Lepisosteus oculatus: one gene and its partners. Each later gene encodes a partner of the first gene's protein in a complex. Links are inferred from orthologs where the notes say so. Each region holds a gene or a part of one and is shown in the gene's direction. Other genes may lie near its edges. The genes, in order: bmp2a, hjv and nog3.

Region 1 (11,010 bases):
TGTGTAAATATATTGAAACCAATTACAAAGCCTACATGACTTTTTTACGCACACAATTTTATAGCAATGTTCATCTTTTCACATATAAGGCTTTAATCTACCTCAAACCTATCTTAAAGGACTTACTTCCAAAGTGTTGTCCAAGTGTTTTACTAGAATAAGCAAGCCTCTGGATAATGCTTAATAGTGCCTTCTTGTGTGCAGCACCATGTCTGTGAAATGCATAGCTACGTTTCTTTTGAGGCCTGGTGAATGCTGAAAATTTTAAAACTTGCATAAAGACCTTTCTTTTCACTGCATCTTTAAAAGTAGTTTAACTTACCATCCTTATTTTCTTTACATCTGTGTATTACATTCGTGCAACAGTTTGATTTTGTGAAAACGTGCTCCTCAAATTTATTATTGTCAACACAAGCATTGATTATATGACCCCGTTAATGTAAAATTCTACCCCAGCACACATAACTGATCTTATCTGCTGCTATGCTGATAGTTCAAGCAGCATGGAAAAAAAATCAAGCATCTTTTTTTTTCCTGCACTTAAAAGCTTTGCAAGGCATGCTGAGAACTTTCAGATTTTGACATTTGTCCTGTTTGTGTCATATGTACTGTATATTAGATGCAGACTTGACTCAATTAGACCAACATCTAATATCAATTAGTTTTGAAGGAATAATATTTGAATAATGGTATAAGAAAAATAAGAAAATCACATTAAAAATGGATGTGCTGGTTATTTCACCCTCAACAGAAACACAAGCATTGCACATGGAGAGGTGGCATTTTGTAGCTGCTGGTCTACATTAATTTTTAAAATATATGTCAGCATCAATATAAAAGTGCAGCAAATCTGATTAATGTAACTCACTAAAAACAGCTCTGTGAGTGGAGCAATAGATCTATAAGCCTTACTACTGTTGTCAAAGGTTTTATAAACAACATTATGTAGCATCAAATATAAAGCAGCATAAAAAGTGCATTGGGACAGGAATGATTTGAAATTAATAAAGAATTGGTGGCTCAGAACAAATTTGTCCCACAGATAAATCCAAGTTAGGTAAGCAGGGACACAAATGGATAAATTAAACACATTTAAAATACCAGGAGGAGAAATAAATTTACATAAAGTTCTTAAAAAGAGGCTTTTTAAGTTGTCAACTGTTGACATCTTGAAGCATACAAGTTTAAAAAATAGAGGATATTTAATAAGCATATGATAGACCTCCTATTTATAAATAAGGAACTACTCACTTAAAACGTTAACACCTTCCCCAGACACACCTGTAACTTAAACGACAAATTTCCCCGACCATTTCATTTATCAACCTAAGCAGAATAAAAACCCTATTAATATGCAGTGTTTATTAAATTAAGTCTACAATTTAAAGATGACCTACGACGACAAACTCCGTATAATTGGTATTCCTAAAGCTATGAAACATGTAAATGTTAATACATCTGTTGCATAAACATGAAGATTAACAATTAGCATTACTACGCTTACAAGATGAAGGATAAGCATACAAATTGCAATCAACAGTGCGAATCTAAAACTCTTTGTACCCAACGTACCCAAATAGTACATCCCTCCTACGTTGGGGTTTGACTTTTAAAAATAAAAGGCTAGTATTTGATGAACGTGAATATGGAAACATGAGTTTTATGCATAATTAAGAATTATAGAATATATGGTTTTTACTGTGTCGACACATTCAGCAATAGCAGGAGGAAGAGAGTTAAGACCTCGACTTTTCAAAGCAGGGAAATTTCAAACCAACCATTTTTAGCCTGTAATTATTTAAATATGACCCATTGTCACATGAACTAGATTCCGTGGTCCAAAGCGCTATTTTACACACCCTATTGCTTTATCCGGAGCTACATCTTACCGGAACTTGATGTGGCTAGTAGCGGGTTTGTTCGGGTATTAGGCCTACAACCTTACAAAAACACGGCCATTCCCACAGTATTTTACATTATCTTGTTACTGAAAAAAACTCCCGCTGGAGTTTCAGTTGAGAACAAAAGTGCTCCACTAGCACAAAGGGGGGGTTAATTAGATTCCACTTGCATGTTCACAGCTTTTTGTAAACCCCGAGGTGTGCGTTCTCCCGTTGTACATTGTAGGACTACTGATTGACAATTGAATATAGCCAATAGAACACAAGATTTTATCCTGCAATTAACACCTCTTAATCAATCTCCTGCAAACGCCGTTGGTTTGACTTAGTTTTTATCGGGAACACATGGGTGAAACAGTTAACTCTGTTTTTTTTTCATAACCTCATTCGGTTTAAAGAAACCTTAAGAAATACAGTATGTACGTTGTAATTTTAAAAGCTATAGTTCTTACGTTCTTTCTTGGTTTTTGCTACGGAGGCAAGTCTGAAGATTTGAGAAAACAAGAAAAGTGGTTTCTGAATTCATTGGGTCTTTCTAGCCGCCCAAAGCCTTCAGACAATTTAGCAGTACCTTCCTTATTATGGAAAATGTTCAAGACAAAGACGAGCTCCAAGCCATCCCTTGAAGCAGAAAATGATTCCTGCAGGATATCAGAATTCGATGTCCGTGGAAATATCGTGCGATTTATTCAGGACCAAGGTATTTTCTCACTTCTTGTTGCAATGTGAATGTCGTATAACCTGCACTGTATTATGTTTACTATTTTCGTCATTCCTTATTTAAAAGATCGACGTTATTGTTTCAAAAAACGTTAAATAGTTGTTTAATTTTGATATGTTCATATTTATTACCCTATCTATGTAAGAGTCTTTTGAGGAATTTCATTAATCATTTTAACATGACTTTGATAATTGTATGTTTTGCTGCAATTTACGCTGATAAACGTTGTTGTTGTTTTTTTGTAGGTAGAGTAATTTCTGGATCAAGCCGCCAGTGTTCAACGTGTGTAGAAAAGCACATTTACTTCAATGTTTCTGTGCTTGAAGAGGTTGAGAAGCTCACGTTGGCTCAGCTGGAAATAAAATTCAACCAGAATTTACGTCGATTCTCGATAAATCCACCCATATTCATTATCTCACTATACAAAGTTCAGAAGACAGCATTGAAAGGAATGTCGCGCAAATCCAATCGGAAGCTGCTGCTGTCACAGACTTTTCAACTTGTTCCTGGATCCATCACGTTGGACTTGACGGCTGTCGCAGAGGCCTGGAGAAAACCCGATAAAAACTATGGGCTTGTTCTTGCTATTCATCCCAGTGATCCAAGTAACGGCATGGACCCTTTTAAATTGCCGAATTCAGGAAATGACATTGGGCATAATTTTATTGGAACTCTACCTCAGTTTTACACGTCACTGATCGTTGTTTCTTTGAACCCCCATCAGTGCAGATCTAGAATAAAAAGAAGTGCCTATTATCTGCCTGTAACTCCTAGCAACATTTGTAAACCAAGGCGACTGTACATTGATTTCAAGGATGTAGGTTGGCAAGATTGGATAATTGCTCCTCAGGGGTACATGGCTAATTATTGTCATGGAGAATGCCCATTTCCCTTAAGTGAAAGTCTTAATGGTACTAACCACGCAATTTTACAAACTCTACTCCATTCCTTCGACCCAAATGGTACCCCTCAACCTTGCTGTGTTCCTATTAAATTGTCTCCTATTTCAATGCTGTACTATGATAACAACGACAATGTTGTATTAAGGCATTACGAAGATATGATAGTGGATGAGTGTGGATGCAGGTAATTCATACAATGTAACGTTTTGAATTTAGATTAACAATTTTTAACAAGTTAACCTACTTCTAAATACAGAATATCGCATGGTTAGCGTTTATCACGGATAAAACGGGATCGATCAAGATTGATTATTTTTATTAATATTGTAATAATCAAGAACTCCCGAAATCAAACTATTGGGTCTGAATATCTTATTTTACCTGATAAAAGTTTTAAATTAGCAATTGACAATTTAATCTTATCTTAACAGCCTCTGTAAATCGTTTTTCTGAATTGTAAAGTAGATATGATTACAGACCAAAACATAACTACATTTATATTTTTTTTTTCTCTGCTTCCATTTAAAAGAGGTGCTGAATAAAGTGACATAAAAAGTGAAGTAATACCGGCGTCAGAAGTTGTTTTTAGTAGTTGATGGTGACTGGCTAGGTCACAAAACCTAATTAAAAAAAATAGGTTTCAAAATTTGAATCCTTTAAATGCGAACTAAGCAGTCAGATGGTTTTCATCTTAACAGTCAAATTGTATCTCCCTGAAAATAATTAGTTCTGCCATTAGGTAGGCCTATGTTTTGCCCCAATGCTACTTTTTATTCATTTGTGACTGAAAGGAAAGGAGAGGAGATCTTCCCATTTCTCTAAGAGAAGATCTTGATTAAATGTGCCGAATCTGGTCCACTGGTTCACAGTTTCCTCAACGTAGGTAAAGCAGCTGAATTAACTTCACAGCCTGTCTTTATTCTGCGCGTTTTCGTTAAGTGTGTATTACCTGTCTGTATTGCTCTTATCCATTCTTAAAACCCTTTACTTAAATAAGTATGGGTGCTCTTGAGGTATGTTTACTGTATTTTATTACAGTTTGCTAATACATTCGTTATTTGGTCAGTTTTAAAGAATTTGAATTCAAAGTCAATAAACTTTAAAGCTCTAATACATCGTTGTTATTCCTCTTGATGTTTCTGTGACTGCAGTAATTTAAATATGTAAAGGTATGCATGCATGTGCTTTCCTTGTTCAGTTTTAACAAGCTTTTGCTAACTACCGGTATTCTACACGTCCATGGTGGGGGGGAGGATCGGGGGGCGAAGCAGTAGCAGTTCCGAGGATAATCCGATTTGTGTAATGCGAGACTCAAATTATTTTACTTTTTATCTGAGAAAAATATACAATGAATCTTTGTTTAATACACATGTGATCACACTTTTTAAATCTCTCCACAAGTTGGCGCACTGTATCTAATTTTGACATTTCCTTTCAGATTCTTACAATTTTGAACTCCCTGTAAACAGCGTTGCAAACGTCTATATATGTTAACTTTGTTGAGTTTTTAACACTTTACAGAAACGAAAAACAAATCCGCAACATAACGAATGGTTCTTTACAGGGGACAACCACACAACAGAGAAAAAAAAAAACATTTCTCAGTCTTAACACCGTTTCGTAAATGTTCAGTCGTATCACCCACGAGGAAAGAGTCTATTTCGTCCACTGTAAATTAATGTTATGATTTCTTATAACCCAGATGTTTTTCTTTTGTTACTTAATAAAAGATAATTTTGCAGTTTTGCTGTGCCATGTTTTGATCGAATTTGTGCTTAGTTTCGAAGGACCTTTTCTCTCGGTAAAGAAATGTTGTGGTCTGGAAAAGAACAACTGAATTTATATATTTATACACTAAACATTGGCTTTACAGTTAACATACATAGGCTTTTTTGTGATATTAAAAATAGCTTTAAGAATATTCTAGGAAACATTTAATCTAGTACAGTTTATGCAATATAATTACAATGTGTAATTTTCTCTGATTTGAATTGATATTGCCATTTTCATTTTTTATATTGTATTTATAATTTAAAGTAAAGTTGCTTTACTCAAGTGGTAATTATCCATGTGTAACCTCGCAAGTGATTAGGATTTTGAACTTTTTAATAAAAACTTAGAAGTTGCATAGTTTATTTGGATCTAGAAGGGATATCCATAGTCTTTGTCAGTTTCAAAGTCTTGCTTGATAACAAGCCTTAAAAACTTCCTAAACTGACAAAATTCAGCAGATTAAAAATCCGTTCGCAGATACAGAACTTCTTTAACCTTATGTAGAGCTTCAGGACTAGAATTTACTCCAACAAGTACAGGAGGTGCCTTTGGTGCATGATTGACAGGCTTGTGGTAGTGACATCACTGAGCAACAAAAGGACGCATAAAAAAAAGCTTCTATCAATTGTACTGAACCATTGCACGCTAAATCGGGGAGACGCTCCGAAAGTTATCTTTGTAGTTTGTAATGAGCGGCAGTATACCCTACCGTAAAACTCCCGTAACTTTAATTTTACTGTTGTTTTAATGATTATCAAAGATGACACCTTAAGGAATTAGGTTTTGCCTATTTGTATTTACGTTTTTTCTGGTTAATCTCAAGTGATATTTTCGTATCAGTAATCTGACTCGATTCTTTCTCGCCTGCCGACTTCACAGCTGCTGAGAATATGTGTAAGAAGAGGCGGGCTGTACTGTGGAGGCTTTCTGTTTTCTGCAGAATAGCTGTGTGGAATAACACTAAGTAATGTGGAAAATATCGGACTACAAAGCAGGAAAACCAGCGATCGGACAGAGCACTTCCTTATAGGTAACTGCAGACTTAAAAAACACCTTTGGTTGGTCCACAGGGAATCGGATCCGTAATGGGGAGAAGTAAAGATACCACCATCAACAGTGTACTTCCTAATCAATCGTGAGTTTAATTTTACCTGGACTTTATCCTGAGAGCTGCACTTGTAAAGAAAACACCTATAAGGAAGGTTGAAAAGGGCAGGCAAAAGAGGACGCTGATTATGACCACGAAAGATCCAGCCAGAAGGCATTGGCTTCTGTTTTAAAAAGGAGTGCATTCGGGATATATACGCATATTTCTGGGTTTTTTTCCATGTGGAAACTGTTTCAATGGACGTGTCAGAGAGTGCTTCTTAGTCGATCACCACTTTCTTAAAGGTAGTTGTTTTTGCTTTTTGTTTTTCGCCTTTGATTTGTGGTGGCCAGTGGAAGCACGTTAGATTTAACACCTGTGTGGCTGTCTCTCAGTAACTCTATGATCTAATCCTATTCCAGACACAACACCTTCACGTAAACAGCTTCAACAACTACACACGTGTAACACTCCTTTTCAGTATTGTTCTTTCCCTTCACTCGCCATAGCTATTTATCTTTTTGATCGCTATATTCTTTTATGATTCTTGCATTTTTTTAAGCTTATAAAGACGATTCCTGTCTTTTCATTTTTTGAGTCTTATCTTTGCGCAGTTGCGCCTTCTTGTCTGCCTTCTTTTCCTCCTTCTCATTCATCTCCTTTGATTTTTTTAAAACCGTTTTATCTTTTTAGTTAAATCGACTGTGTTCTTTTATATACCCCCTCCCTTATTGCGTGTTTAACCTATGCCCCTTTATTATGTTCTTATCAGTCTCCCATTTTATTTATCGTGGCCAGCGGGAATATCATTTCCAAAATTTGTTTTTGTTCCTCACATCAAAGTATAATGTCTTTTAACATGCTTGCTTTAAATTCTTCCTCTGGAAAGAAAACATTTTACTGTTCGCATGGCCATATCTTGTGGTAAACATTTTTTACTTAAACTATCAATACCGTACATGTGATAACAACACTCAGGTACTGACACACCGCTTTTTTCTCTCCGGCACAGATTGATCATGGTCGCCGGGGTCCGTGCTCTCATGGTGCTGCTGCTCTGTCAGGTGTTGCTCGGAGGTTCGGTCGGACTTATTCCGGAGGTTGGCCGAAGGAAGTTCAGCGAATCGTCTCGGCAAAGCACGCAGCAATCGGAGGACGTTCTTAACGAATTCGAGCTTCGCCTCCTTAATATGTTTGGACTGAAGCGCAGACCAACTCCAAGCAAGCTTGCGGTGGTCCCGCAGTACATGGTGGACCTCTATCACATGCATTCAGGGAATGGAGATCAGGACCCCAACCGCTCCAGATCAGTGCTGGGCCAGTATTCGGAAAGGTCTGCCAGCAGAGCGAATACAATTAGGAGTTTTCACCATGAAGGTAAGAGTTTCTCCCCGAAGAAGAGTTCTTTTTTTGTCTTAAACAGGAGGTACCTAGGGTAATGGATGTCACATTATCTTAAACACATTTCATTTACTTTGGGTGATTTCGAAAGCACTTTAAACAGAACGGGTTATATGAAATTTCTGTATGTGTCGATTTAAAACTGTTTAATGCCAAGCTTCGTCTTCAACAGGTATGACATTACTTTCGCTCACTGGAAATGTTCTTTTGTAGCCTCTGCTTACTTAAATTGAACATTGTAAATGACCGAAAACTGGTATGTAACTTGTGATATCCAAATTTGTAAATATTCATGGACAGTTTGCAATGTACGGTTGGTTTCAGCGAGTGCTAAAAGTAACGATGGAGTTAGATATCTCGATACAAATATCAACCCTTGATTTGTCTTAGTGTAAAAAGATTGATAATACATACTCATTGTATGTATCTAGCCTTTCATGTATTCTAGTAATTTAAAATCGGTAATTTAGCATAGAAGAAAATGTGGAAGGACATTTTAAAGGTTTTACATTTTTAGATTCAAGAGGTTATCTGATAAAGCACGTTTCTAAAGAAAAGTTGATCTAAAAGATATATAATGTTTTATAGGAAACTATTTAGTTCCATAGTAAAATGACATAAACCTTTAACAGATGCATTCTTTTTAATCATGGTTACTAATGAATGGGCATCTCAATGCTACTTTGCACACTTTAAGTAAGCAATGTCAAAGGAAATAGATTACTTGCACCAATATTTTAACATTTAACATTGACTGTCTGACCTCTTCACATATTGCATAAGACTGGTACCAGCCGATGGGTGGTTCTCAGCCTTGCTTCTAACAGGTACTTGAATTATTAATGTTGTTTCTGTACAGGTTCTGAAAACAATTTTCTCCTACACGAACGGTTTGTTGAGTATCAAATGTTCAGGTCAGGCAACAGTGTACCCGGAGTGTTGTTCACTCATTGTGCGTACACAGCTTAGTTTTCCTTTGATTTGATTTCAGTACATTAATGCTGCATTTGTTTGACAATTTCAGATTTTTCTTTATAAATGTGACAAAACTTTTAACAGAAGCCAACGGAACACAATGGATTGAGACCACAGAACCAATTATTTATTTTAAATGTGTACATAAATACATAATGTTTGTTTTTGTTAGTTCTTTTCTAGACCATACCTTTGTGTGGCAGGTGCTTCTTTTATTCAGTCATTGGTGATACACAGCCACCTCTTTTGAAATATCTTCATTTCTGCATGTAATTTATCATAAATATTTAAATACCAGATGTTAGTCATGGCAGTGCTCTCTACAGCCAAGAGCAGTGTTAATGGTCTTAGAAGGACATGTACTTGGCAGGGAACAACAAACCTGTTGTGGCAATTTGCCACTTTTTTAAAGACACACAACTACAGTTTTGCTCTAGAATAAGTTAATGAATAGAAGTTAATGAAGCACCTTGCCATTCCAGTGTATTTGACTCTCACACTTACCTATGGTCTGAAAAAAGTAGCAAGATGATAACAGTAAGGCCTTGGGTTATTGAATCACAAAACGTATTTAGCAGAGGTATGAGTTATCAAGGAATTTGGGCCAAAGTGAAATATGCACTATTAACGGACACAAAAAAGGATGACTAAGTCATCCCCAATTTTCCTTTTTTGAGACATTTTGTCACCAACTGATGTAGAAACTATAAAAGAGAATTCACTGATCAATTCAAATGGAAAGCATCAGTTTTAAACATTAAAATGTATAATCTATCCCAAACAGTTAATTGGCAGGTTTTAGGTTCAAGTCCTTCCACATTGACACTGCTGTTGTACATTGAGGATGGCATTTTACCTCAGTTGCTCTAGTCTACCCATCTGTATAAATAGGAACCAGCATTGATGATTGTTCCACTTAGTTATTCCACTTAATGCTACAGAAACTAGGATAAGCTCTGGCTCAATGGGGCACTGTGACTCTGGTATGGACTAACTCTTAACCGTAAGAGGTTTTAAATCTGTATTTCAGCTATGTTCCTCCTCTGCTGTGCCTTATTTATGTACAATAAAGTAATGGACAAGAAATCTGAATATGACTTTGTGCATTAAATTGATAAAGTATTTATCACACCATCATAAAGCTCTAAACATATAAGGCCAACAAATTTTCATTTCTAAAATATATGTGACAGCAGAGTAAGTTCTATATTAAAAATATGTTATCAATGAGAAATAAGACTGCTTATACAAAGTTTGCTGGGCAGAATTAGCCATAAAGATAATCACAGTTTAGTAAATGTTTAGGTGCCAAGTCACCACTGAGGTGCCGCTGAGTGCCCTACATGAGGGTATTTAGAAATTGTAAGAAAATGATTGTAGTTAGTCCTTAAATGGCTGTTGTTTTCAGTATTTGGAATTATCTTTGCTTTGCTATCATTGCAGATAGCAAACTTCATAAAACCTCTTTTCAGTTAGGACCTGTCAACCTCTATGTATGTTTTGAGTAGGGGTTTTATGCCTTTTAAAACTGACATGAACTCTTAGTAGGTTACACCATGTTTCATGTTTCTGGATTGTTTTAGAGAACGAGTCTTTATACTCTTCCTAGCGAATAATCTAAAATTAAAATGAATGTCCATTCGTTGTTGACTATGAGAAGAGATTGAACAGTACTTTTGTTAAATCTAATAAGGTGGTCTATCTTAAAGTCTTATGATTTAAAACTTGATTATGCAGGTTGTATGAAGTATAATTTTTGCCATTTTCAGGTTTTCCTCAAGGTGAAACTTTTCCAAAAGACAGGCAATGTAGTATCTATATTGCTATATGTAGAAAGAATGACAACTGCAATCTAAAATCAATTACACTCTTCAAAAGTTTGCAAAGTTCAGAGTTAAGTTATTTAATTTTGCATTTGTCACTTCTTGCTAGGTGTAGGTCCAGGTTTGCAACTCAATTCACAGTTGCAACACATTCTAGTTTTACCCTTATTTAGAGCAAACATTGAGTGATTTTTCTATCATTTAAGTGAATTTACCAATGGTACTTAAGGTTGTAGTAACAGCTACATTGGTAGGATTCTTAAAAGTTTAAAATTAGTTTTCAGAACAATACACGTAATAGATCTGTATGATTTGTAAACCCATATGCAGTTGTTTAAAGTAAATTAATGTTTTAAAAGAACTGATTGTATGATGAACTGATCATGATATTATGATAAAAGATAAATACAAAAATTTCCATAGGTAT
Region 2 (10,267 bases), on another chromosome or scaffold:
CCAATGAAAGCTGCGGCTATTTTCCCAGACGCGCGCGCACAAGGCGCAGAAACTCCACAAGAAGTTTCCATCCTCCGAGAAGACACCTTACCTTTGCCTTTCGGTCCGAAGACGCAAGGGCATGTCTTTCTTTGAGCGAATGAAGTGGCATCATCCCCTTCGTTAGTTAAAAGAAAATATCTTTTTTTAAAAAAAAAAAAAACAATGCCCCACCACCAAAACAAAAAGGCAGTTTCTGTCGCACAGAAGTTTCCTGCTCTGACCGGGCTCGCTGGGGCTCAACAGGATCCGAGCGCTGGCTGGCTGTCCTCTCCTGGCGCGGTCCTCACACTTGTCGGGGGGCTGTGCTGTGTGCAGCTCCCAGGACACGGGGTCTCTCGCTTTTCCCACATCGCCGCACAATAGCCTCTCCGGGCTGAATAGCCCCAGCGCGGCCCGCGGCAGGCCACGCCTCCGGCCGCAGCCACAATGCACAAAGGCGCCTGTACTGTGCTCACTGAACCGTGCGCGATTGCGCGCTCTCTCTCTCTCTCTTAAAAGGGCGACGTTTCCCGGGACATCTCCCGCGAGAGTTTTGGAGCGCCCGGCGCTCCTGGCATCGGCTGTAACAAAACCTCACCCCCTCCCGCCGCCAGGCGTGTGAAACGAGCGCTGCCCCGCGCGTGACTTTCGGGAGGGACGCGCGCTCACCTGTCTGTCCAGTCGCTCGCCGGCCTCGCGGGTCCGTTCAGCGTCCTGCACGACCCCCCCAGCCCCAGCCAGAGCTCTACACCCCCCCCCCCCCAACACACACACACACCGCACACACACCACCTCCGCCTTTGAGACCCACGCCTGACACGCCAGACCAGGTACAGGCCAGGGGAACCCCACTCCATCGTCACCTGGGCGACACTTGACCACCGAGGGGTCTGGGTCTCGTTACTGGTCACTGAGATGAGTGGAAGACGGAAGGCAATCAAATTTGTCATTTGAATGAACAATTCGGGCGTTTTCACCTCGCTGTGCAGGAAACATTTTGACCCCCGGACCTCTATAATATTCTTCTTTTGAGTGAACCCCGGACACAGTTTGTGATCGCCCGGAAGAACCGTCAATTTATGTCCTTTCCTTATTTTTCTTTTCTGTCCAGCATGTCGCACTTGTTGCATCGCCGTTAACAGCGATTGTGACACCAAGAAAAAAATAAGACCCGTCGCACAACCAGTCCGAGACGAGCGCCACCCTGGATGATAGCTGCGGCTCCGGCGCCCCCTGTTGGCTGGTCGGGTGAATTGCATTCGTCTGAGGCTCAGTTCTAGACATGACCCCTTGGCGATCAGTCAGGTTTCCTGAAACATCGGCTCTAAATAATCCGGATTAGGATGAGAAAAGTCGTTTCACGGAGACTGCGTTGATGTATCGAGATGATAAACTTTAAAATCCGACTGCGGGGTAGTTCACAGGCGAGCAAAGGAGAGCGGTTGTGGAGAGCAAGAGTCGGCTACAGACGCCACTCACATGCGGCGATACACGACGATAGCGTATTCATTTCCAAATAGGATCGATCTCGAACTACACGTTGATTACCTGTCACATCATGCATGTGTATTATAAATCATGTAACCTGTTGTCTAAAAATCTTTTACACAATGAACTCCAACCATGGTGATTATTCTACAGAACACCTTTAGCATCTGACTCAACTGTATTTATACCGCATAAACATGTATATACCTAGATAGGTGCAAGACTGCTGTTCAGTTAAAACACTAAAAACTGCCTTTTTCTTGGGAACCACAATACTGATTGGATTTAATTTTAAATTATGATGTTACGGTTATCGGAAGTGATTATTGAAATATCTTATATCTCTAGAGACAATAATTAACACCTGGATAGTGTCAACATTTACAGTTCTCGGGACGCTTCAAAGCAAGATAGGAACTGAGGTTTACTGGGTTGTGGCTGGGTCTGGGACTCACTGATCTAAGGAATCTGGTTTCTCCTGGTTAATTAAGTTCAGAGTAAATGATAAAGGCGTCACACTACATGACTCGACACGACTACCAGTCGGAGAGCATATCAAATTTACCAGTTGCAGTTGCTGAATCTCGCGGCCTTTTCTGTCCTAGAGGGTGTCAACTTATACGACAAGGATTCGCAGGGGGTGACTAATGACACGATCCCCTCACGACTTCTCATCACGGCTCCAAATCTCGTGTTCTACCGCGAGTTCGCCTCGTTTGGGCAGCCAATCACCGTGGAGCGCACCGGAACAGGAAAAGGAGCACCGCAGGAGAGTAAACAAACAACATGGAGAGCAAGCGGATAGTTGCTGCCGTTGCTGTAGCCTGTGCTCTCGTTTGTGGCGAGAAAAAGAAGAAGAGGTTACGCCGAAGAACGCGGAGTAGGTCACATTTGTTTGGTTGTGGACAATATGGTTTGACAGTTCTTCAGCGACAATTGGAGGTGAGAAGGAATTATTTTATTACGCACGTTAGCTACGAGCATCCCATCGCTGACTAGTAGAGACTGTTTATGAACTGTTATTTATCTGTTTTCTAGTTTTCCGTTGTTTGCTTTTTCGTGAACAGCTGAATGACAGGACAGGATTCAGGGAGCTGCTTCGGATGACCGCAGAGGAATTTGATTTTCTGCTGGAGAGAGTCTCACCGCTCATATCCAAGCAGGACACCAAACTCCGGAAGGCTATCACAGCTAGGGAGCGCCTGTCCGTCACGCTGAGATTTTTGGCCACAGGTTAGTAGGCTAACCTCTGGGGAGCTTCAGTAGGGTCACCATATTTGAACATCGAAAAAAGAGGACACCCTGAGGAGCTTTCGTATTGCCTGATCTGGGAAGGGATCGGGGTGGAGAGGGTTTTCAAAATATTCCACGTTTTATGGCCATTGGTAAAGTAACTGTGATGATGTTGAACTGTGTGAAATGCTAAGCACCCTCTGCTGCAATAACAGTATCCTCTGTTTTGCTGCCAGATTTGACAAAATAATCTGTTAATTTGGTTGACGAACTCTCTCCTGGATTTGCCTGTCTGTGTTTGTCTGAGTCAACAGGAGCGTGCAGGTGAAGTCCACCTTTATCTGCCACGGAGACAAAAGTACAAGGCTTACACACGAAACACCCAGCTTCCCAGTCTTCTCTGCCACTTCGAAAACACGGAGATAAATTTTTTAGTTCTGCTGTGAATTTACACTTTCGCATTAGCATGGTGTTTGAGGGTAGGGAAAGAGAAACAAAATAGGGAGGCTTTTCGGGGGAACGCTTGTGCACTGCATAGACTGGGTAAAGACACTGGTATTGACGCCCGATTTCGCTCTCTCATGACATCATCATCCACGTACAGGACGAAAACTCAATGCTGACGTAGGTCGTGAAGCGAACTAGAGAGGTTAAGAAATTCTTTCTCTTTCTAACCTCCTCATCCTTAAAAATTGTGTTAATTATTCTTCATGGTGATAATAATGGGAGTCGAAATCCCGAACATTTTTGGATCTTTGAAAATTCCCCCCAGACGGAGATAGAAGGATCAAAATAGAGGACATGTCCGGGAAAATCCGGACGTTTGGTAGCCCTAGCTTCAGGGACTTTTTGTATTCAAGGCCCTTGTATTTCAAGAGTAGAAACATCTTGTTTGATGCCTTTTCTTCAGGAGAGAGCTTTACGTTGTTGGGGTTGAAATACCACATTGGGAGATCCACGGTATCCGACATCGTCACAACGACGTGTGAAGCGCTGCATAAAGTCCTGAAGGAGGACTATCTGAAGGTAATGCAGCACAAAGCCAAACTGACCATCCAGTTGTCAAAAACAGCATCACGTCCCTGCGTGTGTGAACGTTTCCTAGTCAACAGTGACAGGCTCTCGTGTATTTCTTTCCTTTTTTTCAGACACCAACATCAGAAGATCAGTGGGGAGCGATAGCCAAGGACTTTTATGAAAAGTGGCATTTTCCAAACTGCCTGGGTGCCGTGGATGGAAAACAGATATATATACAGCCACCGGCACACTCGGGCAGCACGTCTTACAATTACAAAGGCCGCTTCTCCGTTGTCCTGATGGGCATAGCAGACGCCAACTACAGTTTCACATACGTGAGTGTGGGCTGCCAGGGTCGGATCCCAGATGCAGGTATCTTTGCCCACTCGGACCTCCACAGAGCCATGGATGAAGGACGACTCAGTATACCACCAGCAGAGCCCATCCCAGACACAAACACTGTGCTGCCGTATGCGTTTCTGGGGGATGATGCCTTTCCACTCCGACCCGACCTAATGAAGCCATACTCCCATAGACAGCTGGACCACGACCAGAGGGTTTTCAATTATCGGCTCTCAAGGGCCCGGCGTGTGGTTGAAAACGCCTTTGGGATCTTAGCAAACCGGCTGCGTGTGTTCAGGACAACTATCTGCTTGGAACCGGATAAGGTGGCGAAGATCACCTTGGCCTCTGTCTGCCTACACAACTACCTCAGACAGTGCCGTTCTGAGGCGTACATGCCACCTGCCCTGGCAGACCAGGAGGACACAGAACATCAGGTGATCCCAGGAAACTGGAGGAGAGATGGAGCTGGGGCACTTCTGAATGTTCCTGCGGGAGCGTCGAGCAACCCTCCCCAGCAGGCCGAAGACCAGCGTGAGCAACTGAAGCACTACTTTGTCTCTCCCCAGGGGCAAGTGCCTTGGCAGGAGAGGTGCATTTAAAACTGCACTGCAAGTACAGTCAGTAAAAACAAAAAGACTTGCATCTCTTCAGCACCCTTGGTTGAAAATGGACATGCTTACTGTTTGGTGCAAAAGGTACATTTTCATGGCTGCAATTATTTTTTCTCTTCGACAATACTGAACATCATCCTTAAATGTCTTGCACCTCAACGTTGTGAACATCCTGAAAAATGTTAAACAGGCAGTGTTCTCCACAAATAAACATCTTCAAAAAAATAACTCTTCTTTATAAGTATAGAACAAATTTGCACAAATAAAACAGTTAAAAGTATAAAACACCTTTAAAACAAATACTGTAAACAAATTAGTAATGCGCTATGACGTGTAATATAATGGGCGCATTATCTCACAAGTACTCATCTGGCAAACTGCTGTATAGCATTTCTGTAAAGGTTAGAGGAGGGTGTGGGTTGATGTGTTAGATATATGTTATATTACATCACTTTTCTGCCACTGCGTCACAAATAATAAGGATTTAGGTCTGTATTCACAATATCCGTTAGTGGCTTCATTACTGAACGCGCTTCAAGTGGCTTCTGAAAGCGCTCTGCAGTAAGGATGAAGTACACAGTGAGAGGAGACAGCTGAATCACACGGCTACAATCAGGGTTTGGAATACAGTAGGAAAGCTCAGGGGCGGCAGACGCAGGACCAGTGCGATGAAAGCCCTTCTGGAGAAGAAGGTTTTGAGTCGGGATCTGAAGGCTCTCGGGCTCTCCGACAGCCCGACACGCTGGTTCCCGGCTCTTAAGCGCAGCTGTCTTGCAGACGGGCGCTGAAGCGAGCGCACAGCGGGGGCGCGCCGCCAAGCATGGCGGGAGCCCCTGGCCCCGCGCCGGGTGTGGGACCCGCAGCCGCCGCTCGCTGTCGCGGGCGCATCCGACCGGCCCGCTCCGTCGTGTGGTGCCCAGGCTCGGTTCCCCTTCTCTCTCAGCTCCGCACGTTCTGAGGGGCGAGGCCCACGTCCGCCCTTCCCGGCTCTCTCGCCGGGGGTCCGCTGACAGCTGTTGGCGCCCGCAGCAGGTGTCCTTGCGGGTGATTAATGGCCGCCTCAGCCCCCCCCCCCAGGAAGGAACTCCGTGAAAAAATCCCACTCATGCGGTAGTGGATTTCTGCTATCCCATGTGACCATCTGACACTCGCAGATCCCTCTCCGTGCGTGCAGCCTGCAGACAGACCCCTCGGCTCCCGCCGGCCGCCGCTCTTTCTCGGTTGGGTCTTCTTTTTCTCCATTCGTTGAGTGAATTTAGTCGTATTTGTTTAAGTGAATTTGATTGTGCGTGATAAAAATACTACTACTACTATTGCTAATACTACTACTAATAATAATAATATGCAAAGTGATTATTGAACGGTTTCCCAGACGCATACGAACGCCGATAATCTTCTCCTAATAGGTTCCAAAGTCCTGCACCTGCTGTCCCGACAGCCTGATGGGAGCCGCTTGGAAACCGGAGCGCTGGTGAGCCGAACGAGCCGTAGCGGTCGGAGACCGGTAGTTCCTTGTTTTGGCTGGCGGGTGGCATCCCTACCTCGCAGCGCCCTGGCTCTGGGTTGAATTCCAGTCCCGGGGTGCTGTCTGTGTGGAGTTTGCATGTTCTCCCCGTGATCTTGTGGGTTTCCTCTGCCTGCTCCGGGTTCCCCCCTTCATCCAGACACAATGCTGGTGGGCTCATTGGCTTCTGAGGGACCTGGCGCTGGGGTGAGTGTGTGTCTGTCTGCCCTGAGATGATCTGGCGCCCGGCGCAGGGTGGACCCTGCCTTGCGCCCCATGCTTGCCGGGATAGGCCCCGGCTCCCCCGAGACCCTGGACAGGATAAAGCGGGTTAAAAAAGAAATTCTTCGGCCATTACCGTAAGGCAGAATGCAATACCCATCGTATATTAGATGGTAAAGGACCCTGCGCAAACAACCGTGCGGATTTTGTATTTTTCCGGTTACAACGAATTTTATAACGCCAGCACCGCGGAGTGTTACATTTCGGTACTTTGCTACCCTGACAAAAGCGGGGGGGAAATACAGACGCGTGGACACGCTCCCACGACTACATTTCACACGTCTGGCTGCCTCACGCAGCTGTGAGCCGTGGCAGTGACAGGTAACCCAGTAGCGCTGCGGTGCCTGCTGTCTTTGGCCATCACACTGCCCGCGTCCGTGGGAAGCCGCGTTAGATCCACGGTGCGCGGTTTAGACAAGGCAGTTATTTCCTTTCGTACAGAGCATTTTCCGGTGGAGTAACCCACGGCACTGTATTTCCTCCACGGCACGTTACACCGCAATTCCACGGAGCCGAACCTCTATAGCGGAAGGGCCTTATCCGAGCTCATGGCGTTGTTTTATGGTAAATTATTTTCACATCAACGGCCAGACCGCACGGTGTTATTCACCCCGCGCGCTGTGCGTTCACTGCGTGGGCCCCGTGCGTTGGATTGCAACTGGACCAAGCGCAACAAATGTTTCCAGCCCATCTCTTTTTATCCTCGGTAAGTGGTGATGGCCCACACAGGGCTCAGGCCGTGTTAACACCTTCCAGTCAAAACTGGAAGAGGCGGCGCAGTTTCTGTCTTCTCGCGTTTCCTGCCGATGAGGAATAGTTGAAGGACACAGCCCTGCCCCACAGGAGCGTAGCAGGAGCCTGATGAGAATACGATTGTAGCCAATCAGCTCTCAGATGGAATGCTAGGCCGTGCCACACACCCGCCACTCTTTGTGTAAAGAACGCCTCTCGGGGATCCCAGGTGGCTCTACCATTCTCTTGTGGGAAATGACTACACAGCGACTGTGCAAACTATAAGGCATGTGTAACCCCCCCCGCACGGCGTTCTGGGAAGGGCTGTTTGTGCGAAGACTGCTGCAGCTGTGCGCTGGGGTCCTGGGGCTGGGCTGCAGGCTGCTCTCTGTGTGGCCGGCCTGCCTGCCTGCGCTCAGTTTAGCAGGTGCTATTTCAGACGGCCAGCAGCAGTGCCCCACGGTTTGCTGGGGAGTGAAGGGGGTATATTTAGAGAGTAATTCTTCACCCCACCCCTTCTCTACAGCACAGGGCTTGCAGCTCTTAAACTGGATTAAAGGTCAGAGGGAGAAAATGATCGGGGTCGAATTGCCTGGGCTGATTTCTTCTTCGACAGATCCTCTCCTGTCCCCCCAGAAACATTTGAATCCAGAACACCCCCCCCCCCCCCAGAAGCTGGTAATAGGCTGAGAAGTCAATTTATTTGGAGTTTTCTAAAGTAAGATGTACGCTGGTTAGTGTAGCTCTTTAAAGACAATATTTTCTTGCATCCCTTTTCCTGTTCTGTGCTGGTGACATCTCTGATTACTCCAAAAGCAAATTTTTTTTTTCACCCTCACCTGTGTGTGAAGAGATCGCGCCAGTTTTCAAGGTATCAGCCACCTTGGTGTCAGTGCTTCTGTTTGCTGCAGAGGTTTGGTCATGGGTCATATGTCACAGGTCAGAAGAGGTCAACCCTGGGTCAGAGGAACCACAGCCCCACTGGTCACCCATAAGCCAACAGCTGAAAAAGGGGAATTCTCTGAAGCAGTACATAAATCAGGCTTTTTATTAAAAAAAAATATCATTGTTCTAACCCATGTGCTGTACAAATTACAGAAGCAGAGGATAGAGATTGCAACAAAATGTGTCAAATTTACTACGTTTTTTTTATTTTCAGCATTGTTATTGTATAGTGTACAGTTTTAGTGAGCACATAAATAAACAGTCAGTTCAGAGAGTGATCGTGTGAACTCCCAGACGGAAAAGACACACGGGCAAGTTAAAGGTGCTGAATCTCTTCGGTCTTGAACAGAGGAGATTTCAGGACACCTTGACAGGAATGTTCGAGAGCCTCAAAAATGACTGATAAAGGTAGTCCAAATGGATCTATTTGGGATCAATAGTGAAACATGGTCTAGAGGAAACCAAGTGGAGGCGCCTTCAGGATTGAGGAACAGGATGCGTTTGTTTTTACACAGAGAGTGGTGGATGTTGGAAATGAACAGCCCCCAGCAATGTTATTTAAGCAAGGGCAGGGAGATCAGCACAAATCAGACAAGCAGGAAGGACAGGGGTCTTGCTTCCCTGGGCTCACTCATATTTGATTTAGCTTCGACTTTGTGCCTCTTTGACAAACAGAGAGAGAGAGAAAGTCCAAACTACAAAGCTTCCTGTCGGCCTCCATTTCAGGAGGAGAAAGGGTGACAGCAGTCTGCTTCAGCCCTGCCTTTAAAGCCATATTGACCTGAGCTCAGCTAAACGTCGAAACAAGACCACCAGGTGGACACGTGTCCTCTCCTGTCTCCCTAGCTGGACAAGGAGGCAGTGGAAATAACCGAGAGCCGAACTCTCTCGGCTCACGAGCTGGATTCTCCCATCATCCCACTCCTGGCGCACTCCTGTTGCCCGTCAAAACACCTGAAAGAACAGGACAGGAGCTGAGTTTGTCTGGTAAGTCTGGCCTGGAAAAAAAATAAAAGGATCTTAAGCATAAGTTTGGGTTACTTTTCGGAATGATTCCCATCCAGGGCATAAACACTGCTGATCTGCCACGTGTACAATGTTGCACTGGTTACTGTGATAAATGGAAATGAAGTCTGTAAGCTGGCTTGATGCCCTTAAAAATCTTAAACTAGAGGTGGATTGGTGACAGGTCAGAGTCAGAAAGAACACAACAGAGATCAAGTGTGAGAACAGAATAGTCGAAAAAGGAAACGTATCGGAACCATTTGCACAATAGACTGTAAAGAAAAAGAAAATTCAGAAACATGAACTAGAGGACAATGGAAACTACTTGGAAGTGCTGTTAAAACTGAGAGTAAAATGACCTTTTTTTTACACAAAGGGTGGTGGGAGTGTGGAGCAAGCTATCCAACCAAGTCAAAAACTCTGTGCCGCCAGTATATTAAGACAATGTCCTGGTTCTGTATTGTTTGCAGGCTCAGCTGCTGTGCTTCTCTGCCCAGGAGGGGCACTGTTCCCTGAGCGCAGAGATGGAGTGACAGGCCAGGCTGCTGCTGAGGGGACCTTCACCCATTCTCCAGCTGTTTGCCCTGGCACACGGCTGCTCCAGCACTAGGTAGGACGCCAGCGGAGGCGTCCTACCCCCTCAGCACAAATCGAGGTACAGCTCTCCCTGGCCTCTGTCCGTGAAACCAAACCCGTTTCCCTGCTTCCTTTTTTGTCTTGTTCTGGGTGAGTTAAGCTCAGTTAAAGCTCGTCGATGTCTTCGTTGAACCAGCTGATCGATTGGTCTCCCTAATGATCTCCGTTATGTGTGTCATTTTCAAGAGAGTGAGGCAGAGAGCAGGACTGTGTGTCCGCTTGGTGTAAAACTGTTGCTCCCCTAAGAGCTCTCTGAACGGCTCTTATTCTTTCTGGAGGAATGGGGCACAGAGGCGGGGGGAATGACACTCTCAAACACAACCATGATGTTCTCAGGGCTGCCTGGGACCAGTCATTCAATTCAAGTATGTCACTGAAACAATAAAGTGAGAGGAAGGCTGAACCCAGTGGAGATTTCATGCCAGTTACTAACCTTATCCTGGTATTT
Region 3 (9,436 bases), on another chromosome or scaffold:
GAGGACCTTGACCCAAAAGAGGCGCCACAGCCGAAACATTTTTTTTCTTCTCTTTTCAGCATGGAATAAACCGATTACGTGTTCCTTTGCAGCCTACGCATACTAACGCAGCTCCCCAACTGAACTACTTCAACATATTTGATATTTGCTTCGAGTACTATGATATCAATGGCAAGTAGGCTTATACTAATTACAGTAGAAGAGTACTGTATGTCACAGATTAGTTTATCAAGTATATACAGTACATGTACATGTGCATGTTCAGATGGGTAAGAACAACTTTTGATGTCAAGTGTAAAACTAGTGATGTTATGAAGTAAGATCCTTGCTAGATTTTTTTAGTTGAGTGTCTCATAAATATAATAAATTGCCTAAGTGCATAAAGTGCGGAACGAACATTAATCACATTTTTACATTTTAATGTTGTTTTATCTGTTCAGCGTCCACTCACCAACGAGCTAAATACTAATCACGTCTGGCTACGTATAAGGTGCAGTTTCTGACGATGTGGCGCACCTGTGTGTCTCACCTGTAAGAAGAAAACTCCATTTAAGAAACTCATTTCATCTCGGTGCGAATACTGTGAGGATCGCGAGTATGTGCAGTTCAAACAGAACGGTAAGCACCGACTGTGCTTCGGTTACGCCCGCTGCCTTTAGCCGAAAATTAAAAAAATATATATTTAACTTCTTATGTAACATGTAATTATTTTAGTTCTCCCAGACAGATTACAACGTCAGCTCTACACATTCTCATCAATTCTTATGGTCCAGATTTTTATATACAATTCATATACAGATACAAATACATTATTTTGGAGGGCACTAACAAAATATATATGTAAATTAACTAATTAACGCGTTATGCATAACTTGAACAGCATTTTATGTACGTTTTTTTTTAACGATATATACCGAAGGCCTGCTCTGGACTTTGTTTGAAACAACTGAAATGAAGTTCACTGTCCCTCTTCCACAAGAACGTTAAACGCGGCTATGACGACAGTTTATTTGTACAACGGAAAGAAAAAATGTTAGTTATTTCATTAATAATATAAGTTAATAAATAAACTATTTATTTTATCGTAGAAGTTGAAATGAATATACTTTATATTAAACCTTTTCAGAATATGTATGAGACATGTTCCTTGTTATGTTTCTGACTTGTTTTCAAAACCTGTTAAGAAACTTGTGAGACTCGAACATTTCACAGTGTTCCAGGTTTAAAAGCTGTCGTGTCTGTTTGGTATGACTCATGTGCTTGATCAAAATGAAACTGTAATTACTGGCAAAGTCTATTGTAACGTATTAATTAATTATAAATATGCCGAAGTGCTCCTGGCAATGTTCCGTTCTGTTTTTGAAAAGGATACCGAAGGTGAGTCAGGACGCAGCCTTGACAGGTTTACTGAGGGATGAATTGGTGAAAAGTGACACTTGGTAAATCCAGATTTTAGTGGTTACTATGCACTGTGGTGCTTTTGATTTGAACAATCTGAGATGTTAATTCTCTGTGGTTATTGTAAATCATCATCTAATCCAAAGATATTAATGGTCATTTTTGGGGGGCTAATTGTGTACGTCACAGCATTCTCCGTTCCTAATTTCACAATGCAAATCAAAAGAAAACATAGTACCAATTCAGCCTATCCGTGTACTGTATGTAAACTCACGGTGTCTTTGAATAGAGAGAATCTCGTATTTCAAATTGTCCAGAGTATTTGTAGAGAACAAAGTATTACCTTTTCTGAACAAAGTAAATTTAACTATTTTTGTTGCTGTTGTAATAAATTAAGAGTTGTTCAGCAATCAAGTCGTTTAAGCAAATGATAATTACATCGTAATCACAATGTAGATCAAATGGCGCTACAACTTTAGAGACCTAATAAATCTGCAGTTTCATTGTAGTCGACTGAAGTACTGTATGTGGACCAAGATGTGTATTGCAATTTAGTTTATTTTCAGTGTATCTTTGTGTTGAGTGTTGGCAATTTAACAAAATATACACTTTGTATCTTGTCACCTATGTTACCTCTTGTTCACTAGATGGAATATTGGAGAACGTTTCTTGTTCGTAAATACGATAAGGTGTATCCCTGCATAAGAGCACTAAGCGCTATCCGAGAGTAATACTGTATGTAATTTGTCTTTCATTTCTGAACACGTGTATGTTTTTCTGTTATGGTTTATAATCTTTAATTTGTCAGTTTTAAAATATGGCTGTGAATTTTCCAGACTTGGCACTGCGGGTTGAATGTAAACTAGGCATGCTGTTCTAACTAGATAAATGGACCACTGGTTGATGTGTATGAGTAAAATAGCTAATTTAAAGAGAACAGGGTTGCATTTATCTAAATGGATAGTTTATTGCAGATACAGCAGCAGGTAAGTTATTCCTTTCATTTTTTCAAAGGACGAGTCATACCATTAGACAGTTTGTTAGGTTTGTGGATTGTGAAGACTTTAAGGTCGTCTGCTAAGCAAATAAATAATAATAATAATGATTTTCCATGCCTGCTTACTTACTGCAGGATCAAGCAAGGGTGCTCTTGTTCATTAGGGAGTTATTTTGGTCAGGTTTTATTGAGAGGTTCCCTGTGGATTGGCTCCACACTGAAATATTGTCCTAGTCTTTCTGACACAAACACAGGGCAGTACTGAGAACCTGGCGCCAGTTAAAACTAGGGAATGTGTGTGAGAGAGAAGACGAGGGAGGGAGAGGGAGAGAGAGCGTTTGTATGTGTGTAAATGAAAGAAAAGGGGGTGGGGTGTACCTCCATTTTTTTCTGAGAGTCTAATTAAAATAGACTTAGTTTAAGGTTGTATATTATTTTAGAACTGGCTGTATTAATTACGTCTATGTATAACCTCGACATGTTACGAGTTCATCTGGGAAGGCTAGTTGCGTAAAATTACATAATTGAAGTACTTTTGCTCCAAAGTTTACTCAGTGTCTCAGTTACGGCAGTTTTAATAACTTGCCATCTAGTGCGGATTCGTGAAGGTACGTAAATACCGTGTATCATACTATTCAGGGTGTCATTGGCAAGTAACAAGGTGTAACTTCACTCCAGTCTACAGAACGGTTCAGGGGGCGCAACACTTTAAAATTAAGTGAATACCGTGACTTTCAGTAACATGCGCAATGAATCTTTAAAATGTCAAGTGCATTAGTCATGTTATTTAACTTAGTTTCTCGCAGTCTGGAAAATCTGTTTATAGCATACGCGACTCTGCACTCAGATGGAACGTCTTTGAGTGCTCTTTCAACTCTTTTCGTCTTTGAGTGCTCTTTTCATTTTTGTGAAAATATTGCAAAACGTTGAACATTTTGACAAAGGTTCGCCTATAAATTTCCATGATCAGTGTTCATCACCACAATGGAGCCTGTTACTTGGCTTTTAAAATTAGATTTTCATTAAAACTGAGTTGTATACGACAGAAGCACCCGGGACGTTTTTATTAAGAGGGGCAAACACTCTTAAGATGTAACTTTAGATATTGGGTAAATACAAACAGCTGGAAGTGTTTGAGGCTTCGTCTTGAAAGAGAAGAGTAGCAAAGAGATCAAGCAGCTTGTTTTACTACACTCACGTCTCATTGTTGCACAGAGAAGTAACACTGTGAAGAAGTACCTTATTAAAATAGTTTCTTTTTTCCCCTTTCTTCAATCGGACTATTTCCAATGTTACCAGTTTTCATTTTAGGCGATGTACATCACATTTTTCACCGATAACAGAATGATGTTTGCATGGCTTAAAAACACTTATTACTCGTTGTAATTATTAAGCACTATTTAAGGTGCCTTTGCGCAACTTAGATAAATTAATATTATAGTAAACCACAGTCGTTTGCTCAGAACAAAACGCGGATTAATGTGTTCTTGCCATCTGCTTGAAAATGGAGGTTAACATTTTTTTCAGCAGGGAAAATTAAGTGGTTCAGAAAAAAATATTTGTCGTTTTCTATAAACCAGCTATCCATCAAGTGTCATTAGATAATTACCAATAAAGCATTACTGAGCTCTGTGGCTGTTAATAATGGGTCTTTTTATATAACATGGGAGGGAAATTGGATTATGTATTGAGCCCGTTCAGTAGCTGGAACAAATTAATCACTAGACGACTTTTGAAGCTTTTTCATTACTGTTATATGCTTCAGTTAATCACCGTCCCCTTATCTTTACTCCTTGACGACAGTTTTGAGATTTATCTTAATTGACATCTGTCTTAATGGGCAGAGTTACAAAAATTCCTGGCATTGTTTTGTTGTTGTTGATGTTTTCCTCCCACTAGCACTGTTTATGCATTAGACATGACCATAAGTCCTGCCACAAAACTGAAATTCCGACTACTGTGATCCTGGTGTTTCACTCCCTCTTGTGCTCTTAATCTGTGTCCCACGATGAGTAGAGAACTTCGCATATATTGGAAAGATCTTTATTAACATGGAGTTATCGCTCCTATACCCACCACTTACTGGATATTAACCTTGACTATAACGTCCGCAAAATAAAATGTAGGTACACAAACAACCTCCCCATTTGCCTTTAACTTCTCATTCTGTCTATACGAAACAAGAGTTACTTTTTATAGTACTCTGCTGAAAGAAAATGCGCTCACCACTGCATGAGATGCCTTTAGAGACAATAGTTAGAGAAGCGGGGCGATGATTTGCACCTTTCAGTGATATATAGAGGCCAGGGACGCGTAAATATAGCAGGAGCCGAACACCCAGGATTCTGGCTCCACTAAGCTCTGGGACAGGCGCCTCGTAAAACCCCAGTTCCACAGTTTATCGGTACACGAAAACGCACACTGGTGCATTCAATACAAAAAGTCGACACGTTCTCAATTTTGGTAGCATGTGATTTATTGACAGCGATTGAGTTGAGTGGTGTGACATTTAAATAAAGATGTTGTAAAACAAATGTGACCTGCCTGACCGATCATTAAGTCCTTGGCTACTGCTACATGCTTATTCAGAAATGTCTTCTGAGACGTTTGGGGATTCTTTATGTACAAAACTCAATTAAGAACATTAAGAATAAAAATGCTGCGAAAATAATATTTCTATATCATTCCAAACAAGTTTTGCCGCAGTTAAAATACCCAAATAAAACTATATATAAGTTATAGTTTTCATGATGAACACTTCATGCCCTGTTTTTGTTAAAGAAATGTTCCCTTTCAAACTAAATAATAAAAATATCAATAAAACTAATCGACTCCTTTTTGTTCTGCTTACCACAAGCCAGAAATGTGGGGTGGTGATGTAGCGGGGGGTTTCTTTTACAATGAGACTACAAGAATGCGTATCTCCCAGTAGAGGGCGTGCAAAATCCAACTGATCTAATTCGGAGCTCCGACACCCAAGACCGACCACCCCTTATCCCCACCCCACCCCCGCCCCCAGAGAGAAGGAGGTGTCGGGGATCTCTGGCAACAAACCTACATCCAGAATGGGTTTATGGATTACATCACAGCCCGTGTGGATAAATCGGACGAGCCAGGTAATTTTCAGTTTGGCTTCCAGCAAAAGAAAAAGAGAAAACATGCTAATACTGAGACCTCTGGACTTAAAATTGAGTGCTGAAGGACTGAAGCTGGTACGACGCGTGAAAGTAAAAACAACTAAGCAAGAGTCAGAGTCTACAGAGGGTTTTTGATGCTGCCACAAACGAATTATATGTAGAAAAGTCAATGTGTACACTTTTTTCTACCTTTTCTGAAAATTTAAAAGGGATCATTAAGTCACCCCTGCCATGGACTCTGTTGTCATACGACAGGAGGTTTGTATCCTTGGACTTACTAGTTTCAATTACTCTTACTAGAGTCACTGGTTGCTATGGTGCAAGCAACTACCTGAAGTTTAAGAACATTAAAAGAGAGGAGCGGTGGGACAAGAGATAACTTTGTGGTACCAGCTTTTGCCTTTTGCAGCGAAGAATTACAAAGGATCTGGCTCTTTTCTGACTCCTAATCTACGAACTAACTGGATGCCTGCTCCAGCTTTTTAAGGATTATTATATCATATTTTGTAACTTTTTACTTCACGTTTGTGAAAGATGCATCATTCACAGTATTTTATAGCTATGTATGTACTGGTTTTGTCCCTCGGTCTTACAATAGAAGAAGGAATGTGCCAACATTACTATCACCTCCGTCCCATTCCCAGTGACAATTTACCAATTGTGGAGCTTATAGAACACCCGGACCCTGTATTTGACCCTAAGGAAAGGGACCTTAACGAGACCGAACTGAGAAGTATACTGGGCAGCAACTTTGACTCTCACTATATGTCTGTATCTCCCCCAGAGGACAAATACACTGGGAACGATGAACTGGCTGATTTGGAACTTAGGCAAAAACCTACCGGGGCAATGCCTAAAGAGATCAAATCCATGGAATTTTTTGACTTTCTTCATGGCAAGAAGCACAAACCGAGTAAAAAACTTAGAAGAAGGCTGCAACTGTGGCTGTGGTCCTACGCTTTCTGCCCAGTTGTTTATACGTGGAACGACCTCGGGAACAGATTCTGGCCGCGCTATGTGAAAGTGGGTAGCTGCTACAGTAAGAGGTCTTGTTCTGTTCCAGAAGGGATGGTTTGCAAACCTGCCAAATCGGCCCATTTTACGATCTTGAGATGGAGGTGCCTGCAGCGAAAAACAGGGCAGAAATGCGCTTGGATACCAATTCAGTACCCTATTATCTCAGAATGCAAATGCTCCTGCTCGAACTGAAATGAACTTTTAATATAAATAATAGCTACATGGTTATTTTTATATGCACTGCCGAGTGTAGGAATGTATATTTTATGTATATGTGGTGCCATTTAATGACATACCTGTAAAAAGGTCAGTATTATGCATAACCAGCGTCTACTGTATTTGGGAAAAATATCCTGGTTGTAATGTATATATCTTTATATTTATATTGAAGAGCACTTCGCATTGCGAAGCAAAAAAGACGTTTATTGAAGGACTTTAAAGCTATTTTCCATTCTTCGGAAAAAGTGGTTTTATGGACCTCAGACGGCAATATATAAATTACAGTGTAATTCTGCAGCTGCGAGAGCTGTAAATATAGAGGTAAATTTGAATGATTAATCATGTAAATTAAGAGTACCTGCTATTTATTCTTTATATTCATGTAGTAAAATGCCAGTAAAGAAATTAAAAGTAAACCACTAAAACGACTTTGGTAAGAGTTGGCTGTCTTCTTGAGTTTTATTTCCCTTTATTCAGTGCTTTATATGATGCTTTGGAAAGGATGTCCGCTCATTTTCTATCCTTGACATTTCATTTACAAGGAGACACGTGTCTTTCACACCTACTATTGTGGACAGACATTGCTGAAACTTGACCCCTTGCACTGCCTCTCAAAGACGTTTTATCGCAGACACCTTCCTAGCTTTATCCTACTTGATCCCATCACACGCCGGACTTTCCCCCACAAACTACTTGAAGCGATACGATTCTGTCCTATTAGCTCTGAACATTTCAGACTAAGTAGCAATGCAGTTATAGAGCAACGCTCTATTTAACCATATTCCATGAGCAATGAATTGAACAAAATAGCATAAATATATTCAGATTGGTCACCGTATAAGAGTGCGAAAAATATTAAAATACTAACAACTTGCATCACTGTTTTGTCCATTGCGTCCCATTCCGGGAGTTCCTTAAGTTATAGTGCTTATTTAATACACATAACTTACTATTCATCTTCAGTTTGTTTGCCCTAGACGTAAAACACAAAGCTGGCTTTTTCAGCAAGTCGAGTGTGGAGGGTTAAAAACGTTGTCATTTTAAAGTCTGGCTTAATGCATTTATTTATTTAATTGCAATATAAGTGCTCGTTTTGTTAGTGTAATAAAGGTAATTAAGATGCTAGTGTTTTATCGGCGTTTCACTTATCATGTGATAAGGAAAATAAAAGGTTATACCAGTGGTGTTTTACTTTAAAAAGCCGCCTTCGTCTATGTTTAAGAATAAATCTTCTTATTCGCAGAATTTACCTTTCAGTCCTAATTTAAAGTTTTATCAATAACACTGTCACGATTATTATCTTCCTATTATTACTACGTTTTCTGCACTCAGAATGAATTAGGTATCCTTATAGCTATATTTGGCATTTGCTATGCTACGCTCAACAAGGCGTTAAACATTAGAATAGAAAGGAAAGGCATAATTCAAGACTTTGTGTTAATACTTTCCTACCTTTCAGCAAAAATCGAGTTATGGTTTATTTTGTTTAAAAGTTATTTGGTGTAGCCTGTCTTCTACAGCCCTTCATATTATTGCAAATCTGATCCTTTTTTATTTCAGACATTGTAACATTCATTCGCTTTATGGAAAATAGGAACAGCGGCATTATTTCTCTTAAAGAAAAGAACCCTAACCCCCAGACAATCTGAAGGGTCTTTGTAAAAGGATTAAATGTTAAAGACCTTCATCTTACGATTCTTTCATTTAATCTGTGTGGCGCCTGAAAGACACGCTGGATGGATGATCACATGTAAAAATATTCCGATGTCTGCTACCTTCAGTCTCCAGTCAAGGAAAACAAACTTCACTTGTCTCAGTAAGAAAGAGGATATTGAGATTTTTTACGTTTCTAAATTACTGAACTGTTTAGAAAATTTTTTGACAAGTCCCCAAATAATCTTTAATGCCCCTCATTCATTAGCCTACATCCAGCGTTCCTTCGAAGTAAGTATTCGAAGATCTCCCCCCCAGTCTTTTCATCACGAAGATAGCCAATACTTCAACTTGTTTATTCCCGGCTTCCCACTGCGTCTTCCCCCCTTGCACAAATACTTTACGAGATGGATTCGGTACGAAGAAACACGCAAGTTATGCTAATAAAACCGTAGCTTGCCACGGGATGCCCGCCAAGTTCTTAAAATGTCAACACACTTCACCCAAACTGTGAAGTTCTGCTGTAACAACCCCTTACAAATGTAACTGCTGATAGTGTAACAGGGATTTATTTATTCACAGTATTTGCTACTGCTGACAGATCCCAGACACTGTGTTTCTACTCCCACGCCTATCTATCCATTATAAACACTTTGCGGACAGAGCTTTATAAGAAAAATAAACCATTGGGTTGCTAAGAAGTTGAGCGTAGTATGGTCAATTAAGTCTGTCAAATACCGTTAATTTGCCTCACGCTACAATTTTCTCTTTCTTTTCTAAAAAATGGCAACGTGTTTACAAAATGCTGCTGGAATCTGGTGGCAAATCAGGAAGGGCTTATGATGTTACATTTTGAACGACGTTGTGTTTTGTAATTTGCGGAGATCATTTATGCTGCGCGGTTATGTCCGAGTAAGTGTCGATCTGAGAGAGCTTTTGTTTTAGGTCTTTGTACCTCAGAACTAATTTTCTTCCGTTTTTGAATATGAATAATTTAAAGCGTTCACTTTTTATC

Evidence for each region.
Region 2: the proteins of bmp2a (region 1) and hjv are in contact, whole or in part, in a crystal structure (PDB 4UI1), measured with the Homo sapiens proteins. The link is inferred for Lepisosteus oculatus from reciprocal best matches to the Homo sapiens genes BMP2 and HJV. Residues at the interface, in NP_001191.1 of Homo sapiens: Phe331, Pro332, Ala334, Asp335, Leu337, Asn341, Ile344, Val345, Leu348, Ser351, Val352; in NP_001366281.1 of Homo sapiens: Leu40, Asn43, Tyr46, Val47, Tyr86, Leu101, Ala102, Ser105, Ala106, His108, Gly109, Ile110, Asp112, Leu113.
Region 3: the proteins of bmp2a (region 1) and nog3 are in contact, whole or in part, in a crystal structure (PDB 7AG0), measured with the Homo sapiens proteins. The link is inferred for Lepisosteus oculatus from reciprocal best matches to the Homo sapiens genes BMP2 and NOG. Residues at the interface, in NP_001191.1 of Homo sapiens: Trp310, Asp312, Trp313, Val315, Ala316, Pro317, Pro318, Gly319, Tyr320, Ala368, Ile369, Ser370, Met371, Leu372, Tyr373, Lys379, Val380, Val381, Leu382, Lys383, Asn384, Tyr385, Gln386, Met388; in NP_005441.1 of Homo sapiens: Ile33, Arg34, Pro35, Ala36, Pro37, Ser38, Asp39, Asn40, Pro42, Leu43, Val44, Asp45, Leu46, Ile47, His49, His199, Arg204, Arg206, Pro219, Ile220, Gln221, Tyr222, Pro223.

Annotation. Positions count from the first base shown.
Region 1 is NC_090697.1:40,820,789-40,831,798, forward strand, and holds the start of bmp2a (bone morphogenetic protein 2), read left to right. Parts: upstream 1-5,946; 5' UTR 5,947-6,382; coding exon 6,383-6,432; exon of another isoform or gene 6,433-6,689; intron 6,690-7,396; coding exon 7,397-7,761; intron 7,762-11,010. Other genes in the region: gdf3 (protein DVR-1), read left to right, coding at 2,319-2,601, 2,868-3,712. UniProt on the Homo sapiens protein: Growth factor of the TGF-beta superfamily that plays essential roles in many developmental processes, including cardiogenesis, neurogenesis, and osteogenesis. Induces cartilage and bone formation.
Region 2 is NC_090722.1:4,341,177-4,351,443, forward strand, and holds the start of hjv (hemojuvelin), read left to right. Parts: upstream 1-5,581; 5' UTR 5,582-5,935; exon of another isoform or gene 5,936-5,959; intron 5,960-6,121; 5' UTR 6,122-6,186; intron 6,187-6,210; exon of another isoform or gene 6,211-6,426; intron 6,427-7,975; exon of another isoform or gene 7,976-9,024; 5' UTR 9,025-9,165; intron 9,166-9,653; 5' UTR 9,654-9,838; intron 9,839-10,097; 5' UTR 10,098-10,184; intron 10,185-10,267. Other genes in the region: uncharacterized protein, read left to right, coding at 2,296-2,451, 2,577-2,742, 3,653-3,768, 3,891-4,703. UniProt on the Homo sapiens protein: Acts as a bone morphogenetic protein (BMP) coreceptor. Through enhancement of BMP signaling regulates hepcidin (HAMP) expression and regulates iron homeostasis.
Region 3 is NC_090704.1:38,736,967-38,746,402, forward strand, and holds nog3 (noggin-3), read left to right. Parts: upstream 1-5,476; 5' UTR 5,477-6,066; coding exon 6,067-6,741; 3' UTR 6,742-7,196; downstream 7,197-9,436. UniProt on the Homo sapiens protein: Inhibitor of bone morphogenetic proteins (BMP) signaling which is required for growth and patterning of the neural tube and somite. Essential for cartilage morphogenesis and joint formation.